Macaca fascicularis: one gene and its partners. Each later gene encodes a partner of the first gene's protein in a complex. Links are inferred from orthologs where the notes say so. Each region holds a gene or a part of one and is shown in the gene's direction. Other genes may lie near its edges.

What was found.
Region 2: the proteins of APLNR (region 1) and GNAI1 are in contact, whole or in part, in a cryo-EM structure (PDB 8XZF), measured with the Homo sapiens proteins. The link is inferred for Macaca fascicularis from reciprocal best matches to the Homo sapiens genes APLNR and GNAI1. Residues at the interface, in NP_005152.1 of Homo sapiens: Arg62, Ser63, Ala64, Asp126, Arg127, Ala130, Ile131, Val132, Pro134, Val135, Ala136, Ala138, Arg139, Arg141, Leu142, Ile224, Ile228, His231, Phe232, Arg236, Glu238, Arg245, Leu246, Ile249, Ile250, Phe312, Asp313, Pro314, Arg315; in NP_002060.4 of Homo sapiens: Glu28, Arg32, Asp193, Leu194, Glu308, Lys314, Asp315, Asp341, Ile343, Ile344, Lys345, Asn347, Leu348, Lys349, Asp350, Cys351, Gly352, Leu353, Phe354.
Region 3: the proteins of APLNR (region 1) and APLN are in contact, whole or in part, in a cryo-EM structure (PDB 8XZG), measured with the Homo sapiens proteins. The link is inferred for Macaca fascicularis from reciprocal best matches to the Homo sapiens genes APLNR and APLN. Residues at the interface, in NP_005152.1 of Homo sapiens: Tyr35, Phe78, Trp85, Tyr88, Thr89, Tyr93, Ser106, Ile109, Phe110, Met113, Pro163, Val164, Arg168, Gln180, Cys181, Tyr182, Met183, Tyr185, Glu194, Glu198, Leu201, Gly202, Ser205, Tyr264, Lys268, Tyr271, Ser275, Cys281, Asp284, Leu285; in NP_059109.3 of Homo sapiens: Arg66, Pro67, Arg68, Leu69, Ser70, His71, Lys72, Gly73, Pro74, Met75, Pro76, Phe77.

Annotation. Positions count from the first base shown.
Region 1 is NC_088388.1:16,377,364-16,382,387, forward strand, and holds the start of APLNR (apelin receptor), read left to right. Parts: upstream 1-1,792; 5' UTR 1,793-2,038; coding exon 2,039-3,181; 3' UTR 3,182-5,024. UniProt on the Homo sapiens protein: G protein-coupled receptor for peptide hormones apelin (APLN) and apelin receptor early endogenous ligand (APELA/ELA), that plays a role in the regulation of normal cardiovascular function and fluid homeostasis.
Region 2 is NC_088377.1:141,289,691-141,293,924, reverse strand, and holds the start of GNAI1 (guanine nucleotide-binding protein G(i) subunit alpha-1), read left to right. Parts: upstream 1-1,434; 5' UTR 1,435-1,744; coding exon 1,745-1,862; intron 1,863-2,309; exon of another isoform or gene 2,310-2,660; intron 2,661-4,234. UniProt on the Homo sapiens protein: Guanine nucleotide-binding proteins (G proteins) function as transducers downstream of G protein-coupled receptors (GPCRs) in numerous signaling cascades.
Region 3 is NC_088395.1:135,920,636-135,924,822, reverse strand, and holds the start of APLN (apelin), read left to right. Parts: upstream 1-1,387; 5' UTR 1,388-1,714; coding exon 1,715-1,781; intron 1,782-4,187. UniProt on the Homo sapiens protein: Peptide hormone that functions as endogenous ligand for the G-protein-coupled apelin receptor (APLNR/APJ), that plays a role in cadiovascular homeostasis. Functions as a balanced agonist activating both G(i) protein pathway and beta-arrestin pathway of APLNR.

The DNA of each region.
Region 1 (5,024 bases):
AGGCATGAGCCACCTTGCCTGGCCAATTCCAGCTTTTGTAAGTCTTTTGCCTTGGATGTGGTTAAGGCTCAGCTCCTGCTTTTGTTCCATCTCACTATTACCCAACTTTAGGTGGTGGAAATGGTGCGTATTTTTAAAAAATCTTACGTCGTGCATCTTCCTTCCTTCCTTCCTTCCTTCCTTCCTTCCTTCCTTCCTTCCTTCCTTCCTTCCTTCCTTCCCTCCCTCCCTCCCTCCCTCCCTCCCTCCCTCCCTCCCTCCCTCCTTCCTTCCTTCCTTCCTTCCTTCCTTCCTTCCTAGAGGTCCTGGAGAGGTGATGAGATGGGGCAAAGTGAGCTTCTACAGAACTTTCCCCACAGCATCCTCCAGTGACTGCGTCTCTTTCTAGAGACCCCCCTCCTCTAGCTCAACTTCCTGACCCCCTGTGGTCTTATACAAACCTCTTGGTCCACGGAGGGTAGTAAAAACCTGAGAACTGAAATGTATCCAAGTTCTCGCCACATAGTAATTCATACACTCCTTCTTCCACCTATGGATTCCCCTTTTCCCTCACACGTTACGTCATCCATCCACTTACTCACTCATCAGCCATTCACCGGGCCGGCAGGGCAAGGTGGCTCATGCCTATAATTCCAGCACTTTGGGTCATCTGAGGTCAGGAGTTTGAGACTAGCCTGGCCAATATGGTGAAACCCTGTCTCTACTAAAAAAACAAAAAAAAATTAGCCTGTAATCCCAGCTACTGGGGAGGCTGAGGCGGGAGAATCGCTTGAACCCGGGAGGCGGAGGTTGCAGTGAGCCGAGATTGCAGCATTGCACTCCAGCCTGGGCAACAAGAGTGAAACTCTGTCTCAACAAACAAACAAACAAACAAACAAGCAAACAAACAGCCTTTCACCTACGACATGCCAGGTACTGTGTTATGTTCGTGCTTGGAGAAGAAGAAAAGCAAACAATCAACTGTAGCAGAATTCACTTTATTTCCTTGGGCAAAACATTGACCTTGTTGGGCCTTTGTTTCCTACAGATTTAATGACTTGTTTAGAGATAATTTTGTCCTGGATTTCTTCCATCCTGTGACTACCTTCAACCTTCAAAAGCATCCTGTGCCATCTGCAAACTGCAAACTGCAGTCTACACTAGTGTAGGGGGATTTCTCTAGAAACCACGGAAGTTCTCAAGGGAGGGTCAAAGCCAAGGGGTAGCGAAAGATGAAGCCAGAGGCAAAGTAGGAGAAGACCCTCGTGTGACACCTGGTCTGGGTGAGGGCTGGGGGTGCAGGAAGGGAGCCAGGGGGCCAGACCTGCCTGCCAGGAGGGCCTGCCAGATGCCCTGATGATCCTGCGAAATCTTACACCCTCTTTGCTCCCTACCAGCCCTGGCTCCAGCTCAGGCTGGATTGCAATCTGCATAATGTGTCCCATTTAGATTGGATGGGAGGGGGTGAGAACAGGAGGGCGGAGAGCACTGAGGAGGGAGTGCCCTGAAGGGCAGGCAGGAAGTGGTGGCCAGAGGAAAGTGGAGGGATGGAGGCTGGGGTGAAGGTGGGTGGCAACCAGAAGGGGGAGGCGGGGCCAGGAGAGCAGACTTGCAAAACCACAGATAATGTTCAGCCCAGCACAGTAGGGGTCAATTTGGTCCACTTGCTCAGTGACAAAAAAAAAAAAAAAAAAAAAAAAAAGTGGGCTGTCACTTAAAGATTTTGACTCACAAGAGAGGGGCTGGTCTGGAGGTGGGAGGAGGGAATGACGAGTCAAGGAGGAGACAGGGACGCAGGAGGGTGCAAGGAAGTGTCTTAACTGAGACGGGGGCAAGGCAGGAGAGGGTGGAGGAAATTCTGCAGGAGACAGGCTTCCTCCAGGGTCTGCAGAACCCAGAGGCAGCTCCTCCTGAGTGCTGGGAAGGACTCTGGCCATCTTCAGCCCTTCTTACCCTCTGAGGCTCAAGCCAGAAATTCAGGCTGCTTGCAGAGTGGGTGACAGAGCCACGGAACTGGTGTCCCTGGGACCCCCTGCCCGTCTTCTCTCCACTCCCCAGCATGGAGGAAGGTAGTGATTTTGACAACTACTATGGGGCAGACAACCAGTCTGAGTGTGAGTACACAGACTGGAAATCCTCGGGGGCCCTCATCCCTGCCATCTACATGTTGGTCTTCCTCCTGGGCACCACGGGCAACGGTCTGGTGCTCTGGACCGTGTTTCGGAGCAGCCGGGAGAAGAGGCGCTCGGCTGATATCTTCATCGCCAGCCTGGCAGTGGCTGACCTGACCTTCGTGGTGACGCTGCCCCTGTGGGCTACCTACACGTACCGGGACTATGACTGGCCCTTTGGGACCTTCTCCTGCAAGCTCAGCAGCTACCTCATCTTTGTCAACATGTACGCCAGCGTCTTCTGCCTCACCGGCCTCAGCTTCGACCGCTACCTGGCCATCGTGAGGCCAGTGGCCAACGCTCGGCTGAGGCTGCGGGTCAGCGGGGCCGTGGCCACGGCGGTCCTGTGGGTGCTGGCCGCCCTCCTGGCCATGCCTGTCATGGTGTTCCGCACCACCGGGGACCTGGAGAACACCACCAAGGTGCAGTGCTACATGGACTACTCCATGGTGGCCACTGTGAGCTCGGATTGGGCCTGGGAGGTGGGCCTGGGGGTCTCGTCCACCACCGTGGGCTTCGTGGTGCCCTTCACCATCATGCTGACCTGTTACTTCTTCATCGCCCAAACCATCGCTGGCCACTTCCGCAAGGAGCGCATCGAGGGCCTGCGGAAGCGGCGCCGGCTGCTCAGCATCATCGTGGTGCTGGTGGTGACCTTTGCCCTGTGCTGGATGCCCTACCACCTGGTGAAGACGCTGTACATGCTGGGCAGCCTGCTGCACTGGCCCTGTGACTTTGACCTCTTCCTCATGAACGTCTTCCCCTACTGCACCTGCATCAGCTACGTCAACAGCTGCCTCAACCCTTTCCTCTATGCCTTCTTCGATCCCCGCTTCCGCCAGGCCTGCACCTCCGTGCTCTGCTGTGGCCAGAGCAGATGTGCGGGCACCTCCCACAGCAGCAGTGGGGAGAAGTCAGCCAGCTACTCTTCGGGGCACAGCCAGGGGCCTGGCCCCAACATGGGCAAGGGTGGAGAACAGATGCACGAGAAATCCATCCCCTACAGCCAGGAGACCCTTGTGGTTGACTAGGGCCGGGAGCGGAGAGAAGCCTGGTGCCCTCAGCCCTCCCCAGCCTTTGCCCTTGCTTTCTGAAAATCAGGTAGTGTGGCTACTCCTTCTCCTGTGCACATCCTTTAACTGCCCCCTGACTCCTGACCCGCCCTGTCCTCCTCTACTGCTTTATTCCTTCTCAGAGGTTTGTGGTTTAGGGGAAAGAGACTGGGCACTACGGACCTGACCTTGCACAAGCCATTTAATCTCACTCAGCCTCAGTTTCTCCATTGGTATGAAATGGGGGAAAGTCATATTGATCTTAAAATGTTGAAGCCTCAGTCTGGACTCAATAAAAGCTTGTTTCCCTCCGCTGCTTTCTTAGATCTGCAACCGTCTTTTCTCCCTCCTTTCCTTGTAGTTTTTCCCCCCAACACTCTCTGCAGCTGTCGCTCCTCATCCCTGCCTTCTGGCACCAATCCCCTCCTATAGCTCATCCCCCCTCCGTCCATCCCTCCTTCTCCCCTGTCTACGTTCTTGTTCTGAAGGGCTACTAAGGGTTAAGGATCCCAAAGCTTGCAGAGACTGACCCTGTGTAAGCTCTCTATCCTGTTTTCTGAGTGTGAGGCAGGGAATGGGCTGGGGTGGGGGTGGGCTGTGTGTCAGCAGGTAATTAGCACTCCAGCCCTTAGATATGGGAGCTCCAGAGCTTGCCCTAAAATTGGATCACTTCCTTGTCATTTTGGGCACTGGGGCTAGGGTGATTCCTGCAGTTCCCCCATGGCACCACATCACTGACTAGATATGCTTTCTCCAAATTGTCCGCAGACCCTTTCATCCTTCCTCTATTTTCTATGGGAATTGGAAGGCAGCAGGGCTGATGAATGGATGTACTCCTTGGTTTCATTATGTGTGTGTTGGGAAGGGAAACTAGAGAGAGAGGATGGAGGGGTGTCTGCATTTAGTCCAGACACTGCTTGGCTCGCTCCCCAAGTCCTTCTGTCTCTGACTTCCTGCAGAACTGTGAGCTGAAGGTTTTCCTCGTCTCCCCATCTTACTCCATCACACTGATTTCTTTCTTGGGCACTAGTACTACTTGGTGCCAAGAGTCATGTTGTTTGGGATGGAGATGCCTGCCTCGCCTCTGTGTGTTGTACTTACATGTCTATATGGGCAAGCCTGGCATGAACAGCAGTGTGCCTGGATCATTTGGACGAACCTCCTCCCACCCCCCACTCCACTGCATCTCTGCTGTTCATACATTCCCCTTGGCGGGGGGTGGTGGGGGGCAGGGACACACTGAGGCAATGAAGAATGTAGAATAAAAATGAATCCATCCCCCCACTGGATTTGGGGGCTCCAACGGCTGGTCCGTGCTTTAGGAGAGAAGTTAATGTTTGCACCAGGCTTCCTGTAGGGAGGTTCCTCCCCAAAGCAGCTGGCGCTAAGGCTTGGGGGCGTCCTACTGAGCTGGGTTCCCGCTCCTTCTTGGGCTCCATGAAGGAAGTAAGAGGCTGGTTGAGAGCTTCCCTTGGCCCCTTTCTGGTGCCTCCCCACCTGGCTTCAAATTTATGAGCATTGCCCTCATCATCCTTTCTTGTTCCAGAGTCAGTGGTCCTCTTCCTAAGGAGGTCTGCTTGCCATGGGCCAAAAGGCACTGGGTGGGTTTTTTTCTCTTCCTACCCTCAGGATTGGACCTCTTGGCTTCTACTGGATTGGGGATCTGGGAATAGAGACTGTGATGGGGCAGATGGCATGATGTCTACACTGCCAGAGAGACTGTGAGGATGAGATTAATAGTGGGGCCTCTGTGAGCTAGAGGCGGGGAGTGTCTATTCCGGGTTTTGTTCTTGGAGGACTGTAAAAGTGAAGGACAAGACAT
Region 2 (4,234 bases), on another chromosome or scaffold:
AGTGTAGAAGGTGAGTAAGTACATTTAAAGATTGCTCCTTTTTGTTGTTATATTACAAAAGATTATAGTTGAGGCAGATCTTGAAATTGCATCTCATCAGCCCAGCAGGTGGTGTGACTCCCATAGGAGAACAGGAAAGGACATGTCCCATAAGGAGGTAACTCAGAGTCTCTGCTAGCTCACAAGCGTGGTCTCAGTGACCTACTCGAAAGCTATTCTGCTTGTATCATCAGTTCAGCCTCACCTTGGAAAACTCAAGCCCAGTTTTCTCAAATGATTTTTAGATAATAAGATTTCCAGATGAAAACCAGGGAGCATTTCCCAATTTTTAATACATCAAGGAAGATGTTTTTCCTTGCTACCAGTCCCATTTTCTAATCAGTTAACGCTTCCTGTGATATCTGTAGGGGAAAGGTGTAGTGCAATTGACAGGGAGAGATGAGATCTTAAGCCTCTGCTCATTCATTGGGTGCTGAGTAGTAATGCCTCCTGCAGGCCACAGGAACTTATCTCGGGCGGATCAGTTACAGCTGGAAGGATGGGGCCATAGCCCCATAAATGCACTCCTCATTTTATGGGGAAAGAAGCTAAGGCCTGTAAAAACGACATGCCCAGTGGTACAGGAGTTACAAACACGGTAATAAATATTGGCTCAAAATTTGGCATGGAAGCTTATGTGCTGCTCTAGAGGAGATCTGCTATGATGTGGAGATTGGCTTGTTGTGGGTGTGTTTTATTGCTCTTATCATTTAAAAGTACTTTTTGATTATTTGTCTCCCATTTTTTTAGGTTACAAGGAAATCCTTCAAAATGAGTTCTTGTGAAAAACCTGAGAATGGAAGGAAGGAGGGAGGGATAGGAAGAAGGAAAGAGAAGCAAAAGGTAGGAAGAAAGTTGACCTTGTTGCCCTTTCCTAGTCTCCTCCCCCGACTTTCCTGTTCTCCACTGTGCCCATCTCTGGTTTCACCAGGCTCCATTCCTTCCCCAGCTCCCTGTTTCCCACGGCCCTGAAAGCCAGCCGACAGGGATTTGCATTTTGAAAAGCCTTGTGTGGCTGCCGGCGCTGGGCATGCTCAAACGCCCAGAACTGGCTTTTTTCGGCAACTTTGGCAGCTCTCCCACCCCTACCCGAAAGGGCAGGTACGCACAGCTCCGTCGGTGTGAGTAAACGGAAAGAAATTACCCCACTCCCGCCCAGGGCAGAAGGCCACAGGCCCGCGGGTCAGTGTTGTGCTCCGGGGACGCTGCCAGGGGGCGCCGGGCCCTCGGGGGTGTCGCGGCGCCGCGGTAGGGAGCCGGGGGGCGCGCGCGCCCCTCCGAGTGGGCGCTGTCCAAGGGCACGTGCGCGGGCGCGCGCTCTGGGAGTGGTCGCGGGGTGGCGGGAGGGGCGGGGCCGCGGCGGCGCGCGGAGGCCGAGCTCGGCTGGGCTTGGCAAGGCTGCGGCGCGGCCACCGGCGGGAGGGCAGCAGCCACTGTACCCAGAGCTTCAAAACCCCAAACCGGAGACTTGGGGGCGCTGAGCCGCACCGGGAAGCAGAGCCTGGCCGTGAGGAACAGCCGCGCGTTGCTGTCTGCCCCTCTGCGGACGGCGTCTCTCTCGACTCCGCTTAGGAAGTGGTGGGGGTGGCGTGGCCCCCGTCGGGAGGCGTTCGAACGCCCGCTCAGAGAGAGAAAGGATTCCCCTGTGCTTGGAGCCCGCACTCGGGCGCGGAGGGAGCGGCGGCAGGCTCTCGCTCTCGGCAACATGGGCTGCACGCTGAGCGCCGAGGACAAGGCGGCGGTGGAGCGGAGTAAGATGATCGACCGCAACCTCCGCGAGGACGGCGAGAAGGCGGCGCGCGAGGTCAAGCTGCTGCTGCTTGGTAAGGGCGGCCGGGTCGGGGACCCCGGGTTGGCGGGGGACCGGGCGCGGCGCTCCGCGGTGACCGCTGCGCGGCCCTCGGCATTTGGAAACCCGGAGGGAAGGGGAGGAAGCGCCCGAGGAGGCTTCCGAGCGGGAGCTAGGTCAGGCGGTGCGCAGCCGAGGCGGGTCCTCCTCTCCGGGTGCCCGGCCTCCCTCCGCCCCGGCGGGCGAGGACTCCCCGTGGTGGGGCGGGCGCGTCACTTCTCTCGGATGCCTTCGGCGACCCAGCAAAGAGCCCAGGCGCGAGTCCGAGGCGGCGGGTCCTGTGGAAACCCTTTGCTTTGAAGTTTAGCTCAGCCTTACAAAGACGAAGGGGCATTCGTGGCTAGAAAATAACCACCCCCCCACGCCGTCCCCAGCCCCCTCCCGGAAAACCCTTCTTCGTGTGAGGTGTGGGTTGTGTTTCGACTGTGGTTTTCTCATGCCCAGAGTGCCACGTTTGGTGAAATCAGTGCACCTTTTGTGGGGTCTCTGAGATGGGGCTGAAATGTCTTTCCTGTTAACTTCCTATGGCGACTCCTTAAGTGGTCAAGGAGCATCGATTACATTCCGCCTGCGCTGGGGAAAGGCTGCGCTGGATGCTTGATTTTTCTTGCTGTAGGGGCATGGAAGCCACCCAAGTGGGGTTGGGAAGCTTTGCTTTAGTAGTAGGCAAGACTCGAGTGGTGAAAACTGCTGTGAAAGGAGCGAGAGGGTCACGCCAGACAACACGGTTCTCCCTCCGCTGCCACCGTTTCTGATGAATGAGATTTGCCAGGTACACGCAAGGCTTTTATTTGTTCTTCGCACTGTTCTGTTCGTGAAACGCTACGTGGAGGTCTTTTCCAAATGTTTGACAGGGAAGAAAATAAAAAAGAGTAAACCAGGGTTTTCATTGAGGGAAGCAGTAGGAAAATAGTCACAGGTTAAGATTTGTGAGTTAGGGTTTTCTTTTGTTTGCATGTTTTCTTCTCACACTCTAGGTATTTAGATGAAAAATTTCTCAGAATCTTCATTTGCATTTCCAAGGACTGCTTTTATTTTTATACCAGTTATAATAAAAAAGAAATGTTGCACAAACCTGTTTTCAGTAAGCTTCTGTTTCATTGGTTTAATGACTGCAGAAAAAATGGTGGTTTTTTTTTCTACATTACTAGTAGGCTTGGGAGCAGCAAAGTTGGCATGACTAAAAGTAATAATGATCTGAGTCATTTTGCAAGTAAACTGTGAAATAACTTTGCATTTTAAAGACCTGCGTGGCTTTTTTCACCCTCTCGCCCCCAACATAAGTCTTTCTCAGTTAATGCTGTTGCCTAAGTTTTTACATTATTAAGAAATACTGTGTTTTGAGGAGGTTAGTGTATCTGCTTCTCTTGTGAATTGAATGTGAGATAGATATGAAATAAAAGGATTAAAAAGTTTTTTTCTTGCAGTTTTTGCTCTCCTGGTGTGATATGTTGTTTCAGTGTATTTTTGTGTGACTCTTAGTTTGAGCCAGCCATCCACCATGTTTAAAGCAATTGAGAAATGAATCATCTGGTCGTGGTGTTTTGTCCTTTAATTAGGTGACTGTTAGGGATGGACTAGAATAAAGGTCCCAGGAGGAGGCTTTTGCTTGTGTTCAGAAGAGATCAGTGTGTCTTAACCTTAGCACGGTTGGCATTTGGGGCCGGGAAATTCTTTGTTGTGCAGGTTGTTTTTGTGCATTGTAGGATGTTCAGCAGCATCTTTGGCCTCCACTCATTAGATGGTAGTAGCAGTCCCCCAACCTATGAGCTCCAAAAGCGTTTCCACATATTGCTAGAAGTCCTCTGGGGGCAATATACAGCCTTAGTTAAGGACCACTGTTCTAGATTAACACTTAAATATAATTGAATGTATAATATAGAATCAGAAGGTGAATCTTTACAGTCATAGTGAGTTTGGAGAGAGATGTAGCAGAGGCCTTATTTTCAGAAGAAATTATGGAATTCTTATTTCTGTTTTGTTTTTGTTTGTTTTTTTGAGACGGAGTCTTGCTCTGTCGCCCAGGCTGGAGTGCAGTGGCCCGATCTCGGCTCACAGCAACCTTCGCCTCCTGGTTCGAGCCATTCTCCTGCCTCAGCCTCCGGAGTAGCTGGAACTACGGGTGCGTGCCACCATGCCTGGCTAATTTTGTGTTTTTAGTAGAGACCGGGTTTCCCCATGTTGGCCAGGCTTGTCTCGAACTCCTGACCTCAGGTGATCCGCCCGCCTCGGCCTCCCAAAGTCCTGGGATTACAGGCGTGAGCCACCTCGCCTGACCAGAATTCTTATTTCGTTAAACCAGTACTAGCACCATTAGAAATACTTCAGAATGATTTTTAGCAATCT
Region 3 (4,187 bases), on another chromosome or scaffold:
TAGTCACTGTTCTAGGTCTGGGGACACAGCTGTGAACAAAGCAAAGATCCCTCCCTTATGGAGGTAACCCTTCTGGCGGAGCTAGACTGATAATAAATACATTGTGTATATATAGGATTTTTGTAACATTTCAAAAATATTTTAAATATGCCGTGGTCTCTCATGTCTTTTATGGCACACATGCACCCTGTCCAATGTATCTTTTGTGTAAATCTGGACTTACACTTCAAGCAAACTGCCTAGCTTGCTGAAAGGTGGAGACACCTTTCGATTCAGTCTTTTAATATGTGTTGAGTGCCACCTATGTGCAGAGCAAGATATTGGGGACTTTGGAGAGATCCAGAAGAGTGAGAAGACAGTATCCTACCTTAGGGGGTTCCCAGTCCAATGAGGGAGGCAGCCCCATGCCTTGGGAGCTCCCAAGCTACAGAAGGAGCTAACAGTCCAGTCTGGAAAGGCAAACAACTTCAGGACCCGCTTCTAAACCGGAATCCCAAGTACACCCAAAATGAATCCAGCCTTGACTGTGTGGAGCTGGGTAAACCACCTGCCTCTTATCATGATGGGGAACTAGAATGAGGACAGCTCCAGGGAACAAGAAAGGGGACACCATAGGAGCTGTCGCATGTCCCAACAGTGGGGAGGAGCTGAGGGGCAACCCTTGCTGGATTAGTGTTATCCCGGGAAGGCTTCTGGATGCGATGGGATTTGAGGTGCTGCTGCAAGAATGAATTGCTCACGGAAAGGTGGGGTGGGGGCATTCCAGGTAGAGGGTGCCTCCTGGGGGATGCAGGGAACATGAGGGTGCTGGGCAATTAAGCCTTGGGCACAAGCCTAGGCAGTCACCCCCAATTCAGAGCCAGTTGAAAATGCAGAGGAGAGAGGAAGGCCAGTGTGTGGGTGTCTTGACCAAACCCTTGAAGCTGGCCAGCGGCAAGGGCAAGGACCAGGGTCAGGGTCAGAGGTAGAGGGCGTGAGTGAAGGTGACCCAGACTGAGTCCTTCCCTAAGCGCCTAGGTTTCCTGACAGCTGTGAAGGAAGCAAGGTGAGAAAGGGTTAAGTGTGCCCCTCCACCGCCCCAAATGCTTCCTGTGTTTGAAATCCTTCAGGTCTCTGCAAACCCTCTGGCCCCCGGCCAGACGGGCATTGTCCGGGGAGCGGTTGTGGGTTGTCAGAGAGGCTGCGCAGCCTTTGTTGTGGGGCCACCTCAGGGTTCCCTCTCGCGCTCTGGCTGGGGCTGCAGAGTGCGTGCCTGGAGGGGGGCGGTGCGGGAGGCTCGCTCCCTCTCCCTCTTCCTGCCCCCCCTCTAGCCCTCCCGATGACCACATGACCAAGTGGGCTCGCGGCCAAGCCACAAGCTACAAAATGCAGCCCCTGGAGTGAGCGGGGAGCATTCTCGCTGGCAGCCGGGGTCAGGGGCAGTTGCAGCCGCGGCTGAGCAACCAGCTGCTAGGAAAGAGCTCGCCGCTGCCGCTCCCGGAGCCGCCGAGGCCAGCTTCGCGGCGCTGCCCCGCGGCGGGAGAGGAGGTTGCAGAAGAGCGGAGGCGGCCAGCGGGAGCGGCGGGGCTCAGCGCGCACACTCAGCGGCCAGGGAGCCTCCCGAGCTCCGCGCCCGCACGCGCCAGCCGCGGCTTGCGCCTTTCTTGGCCTCCTGGCGCCCGACCTCTCCTCCCCCGCGCCGGCTCGCCGGGGCCGCGGCGGCCCGAGGAGCAGCATGAATCTGCGGCTCTGCGTGCAGGCGCTCCTGCTGCTCTGGCTCTCCTTGACCGCGGTGTGTGGAGGTGAGTGCGCGCCCTCCCGCTCGCCCGGGCTGCAGCCGGCGCGCTCCTTTCCCTCCGCCCTCCTCGCACTCTCCCCGCCTCCCGGGGAGCCCGGCGCGAGCCGTGCAGTAGCAGCCACGCGCCGGCCAGCGCCAGGCAGCAGATTGACAGGGCGCCCCGGGCCATGGGGCGGCTGGCCGCAAGAACCGCTTCTTCTGCGGGGCTCAACTTGGCCTCTGGCATCATCTGCCCGTCACCTTGACCCTCCTAACTGTCGCTCGCAGTCCCAGGAGCGCAGGACCACAGGTGTGCGCCGCGTGCCCCATGCCCTGCACCCCGCGTGGTGAGGGTGGAGGCCGGGGACATGCCCGCTCCCTCGTGGATCGATGGAAGGAACTGACCAGAGTCGGGTGGGCTGGGCTCCCATGTTGAACGTCTTCTGGTCCCTGAAGGCTGGGAGCCTCCCGCCGGTCCAGGGGCGCGGGAAACCGGGGATGATGTGCCAACATGCAGACGTGACACTTGTTGCATAGGCAGGAGTGCGCGGAGGGGGTGGCGGCATGGAGCCCAGCTGTTGCTCCTTTTGGCCTGCATGTGTGAGCAGAGGCAGCCTCCCTAAGGCAGGGCCGGGCCCAGCCGGGCTGGGCTGGTCTTCTCCTCCCTAACCCCAAGGTCCTGGCTGGCCTCCTCCCCTGCACAGGATGCCCTCCCCATTGCCTCCATCCCACCCCCAGATACTTGGTTCTCTTACATCCTGGCTCCAGCCTTTCTTTCTGTCCCAGGCATGGGCATGCTTCACCTTAGTCTCCCTGTCGCTAAGCACCAAAGGAGGAAGCACAGCACCTGACCCAACCCCTCCCTGCAGCTCAGGAAAGGGGAGTCCTTTTGCCCTCACCTGCCAATACTTGGCACTAGTGCCCACGTCCGCCCCTAGCCTGGTCCCCACCCACGCCCCAGCAGCCCCATCCCGGGCTGCCTGTCCTCTGCGTGTCAATGTCTCCTGGGGCTGCCAGCTCCCACCTCCAGCTGCCACAGTCCTATGATCTGGCTGTCATTGCTGCCTGCCTGGCACCACACAAGGGGAAGGCCAAGACCAGGTGGACTAACGCCAGGACCATGGCTGGAGTCACAGGGAGGTGGGAGCAGAAAGAAGGAGAAGGCAGAGCAACGAGTTTCCTAGGGCAAGGGCACAGGGTCCTACGTGGTTCCAAACCCTCCAGAACAGGAGGGTGGCATGCAGCCCAGGAGCCTCCGAGGGGTCCAGCCAGCTCTGCCTGCCTCTCATCGCAGGCCACCTCCTTTCTCTGCTCTTGCTTTTTGGCCCTGTTGTGGCCCTGGGAATACTGCCTGACTTCTCAGAAAGGCGTGGTGGTTGGGGCTGGCACCTCCTGCCTCCAGGTAGCTGGCCAGTGATCTCTCTCTTCAAGACCTGAGCATGAAGTCAGCCACCACGACAGTAAGAAGTGGGCAGGTTTTTTCCATAGAAACTCCTATCAGGCAGGTAACAGAGGGAGCAAAAGATACTAATGTAAGATACAAATGTAAGATACAAATGATACACCATACCAGCCTGTCCTCAGGGAGCCTACCATCTGGTGTCATTAACAAGGCATGATACTTGTACAATACCACCACAGGCAAATAGTCCAGCGTGGTGCCTTCAGGGAAGAAAAAGACTGGGTGCAGAGAGAGTGTTCCAGAGGAAGGTGGGGCTTCTGGATCTGCACACTTGGTGCTCCCCACACAGGCTGTGGGGAGACTCCTAGCCAATAGACAACCATTCAGACCCTCCTGGGGCCCAGTCATTGGGACAGTACTAGCAAAGGGGAGACAGCTGGTTTCAAGGGAAGGGAAGTTGGCCAGGATGCCTGAACACGGTGTGGCTGGTCCAGAGCCTGCCACTTCGTGCTTTAATACCCCCGTCTTCATTAGGTAATCTGTCTACTCTGATTTGGGTAAATTCGTTGCCCTCACATTTTGCTCAAGCCTCATGTTGGAAACTTTCAGGGCTCTCACTGACTTCTCTACTCCCTGACTTCTCCTGGAGCCAAGAAGGGGCACGTCCCTGGAGGTGGCCACCAGCCAAGGGTCCAGGTACACATGTCCTGCTCCTGCTGGCTCCTGTCCTGGGTTAGAAGTAGGAATCCCAGAACCACTTTGTCCTTGGCCCAGACTGACATGCTGTCCCCGGCCAGAGTCCCCAGTCAAAGTTCCAGCCTGAAAACCATACTTCCTCCTCTCCACAGTCTGTCCTGACTTGGAATGTCCGCCCCCGACCCCTCATCACCCCGATACCACCGTGTACACTCCTCCACTGCCTCCTGACCTCGGATACACTTTGCTCTTGTGAGTCTGAGAACTCCTGGGCCAGGGCCAAGTGTCCCTCAGTCTCTGAGTACCTCTCTTTTTCCCCTTCTCCTCCCCCTC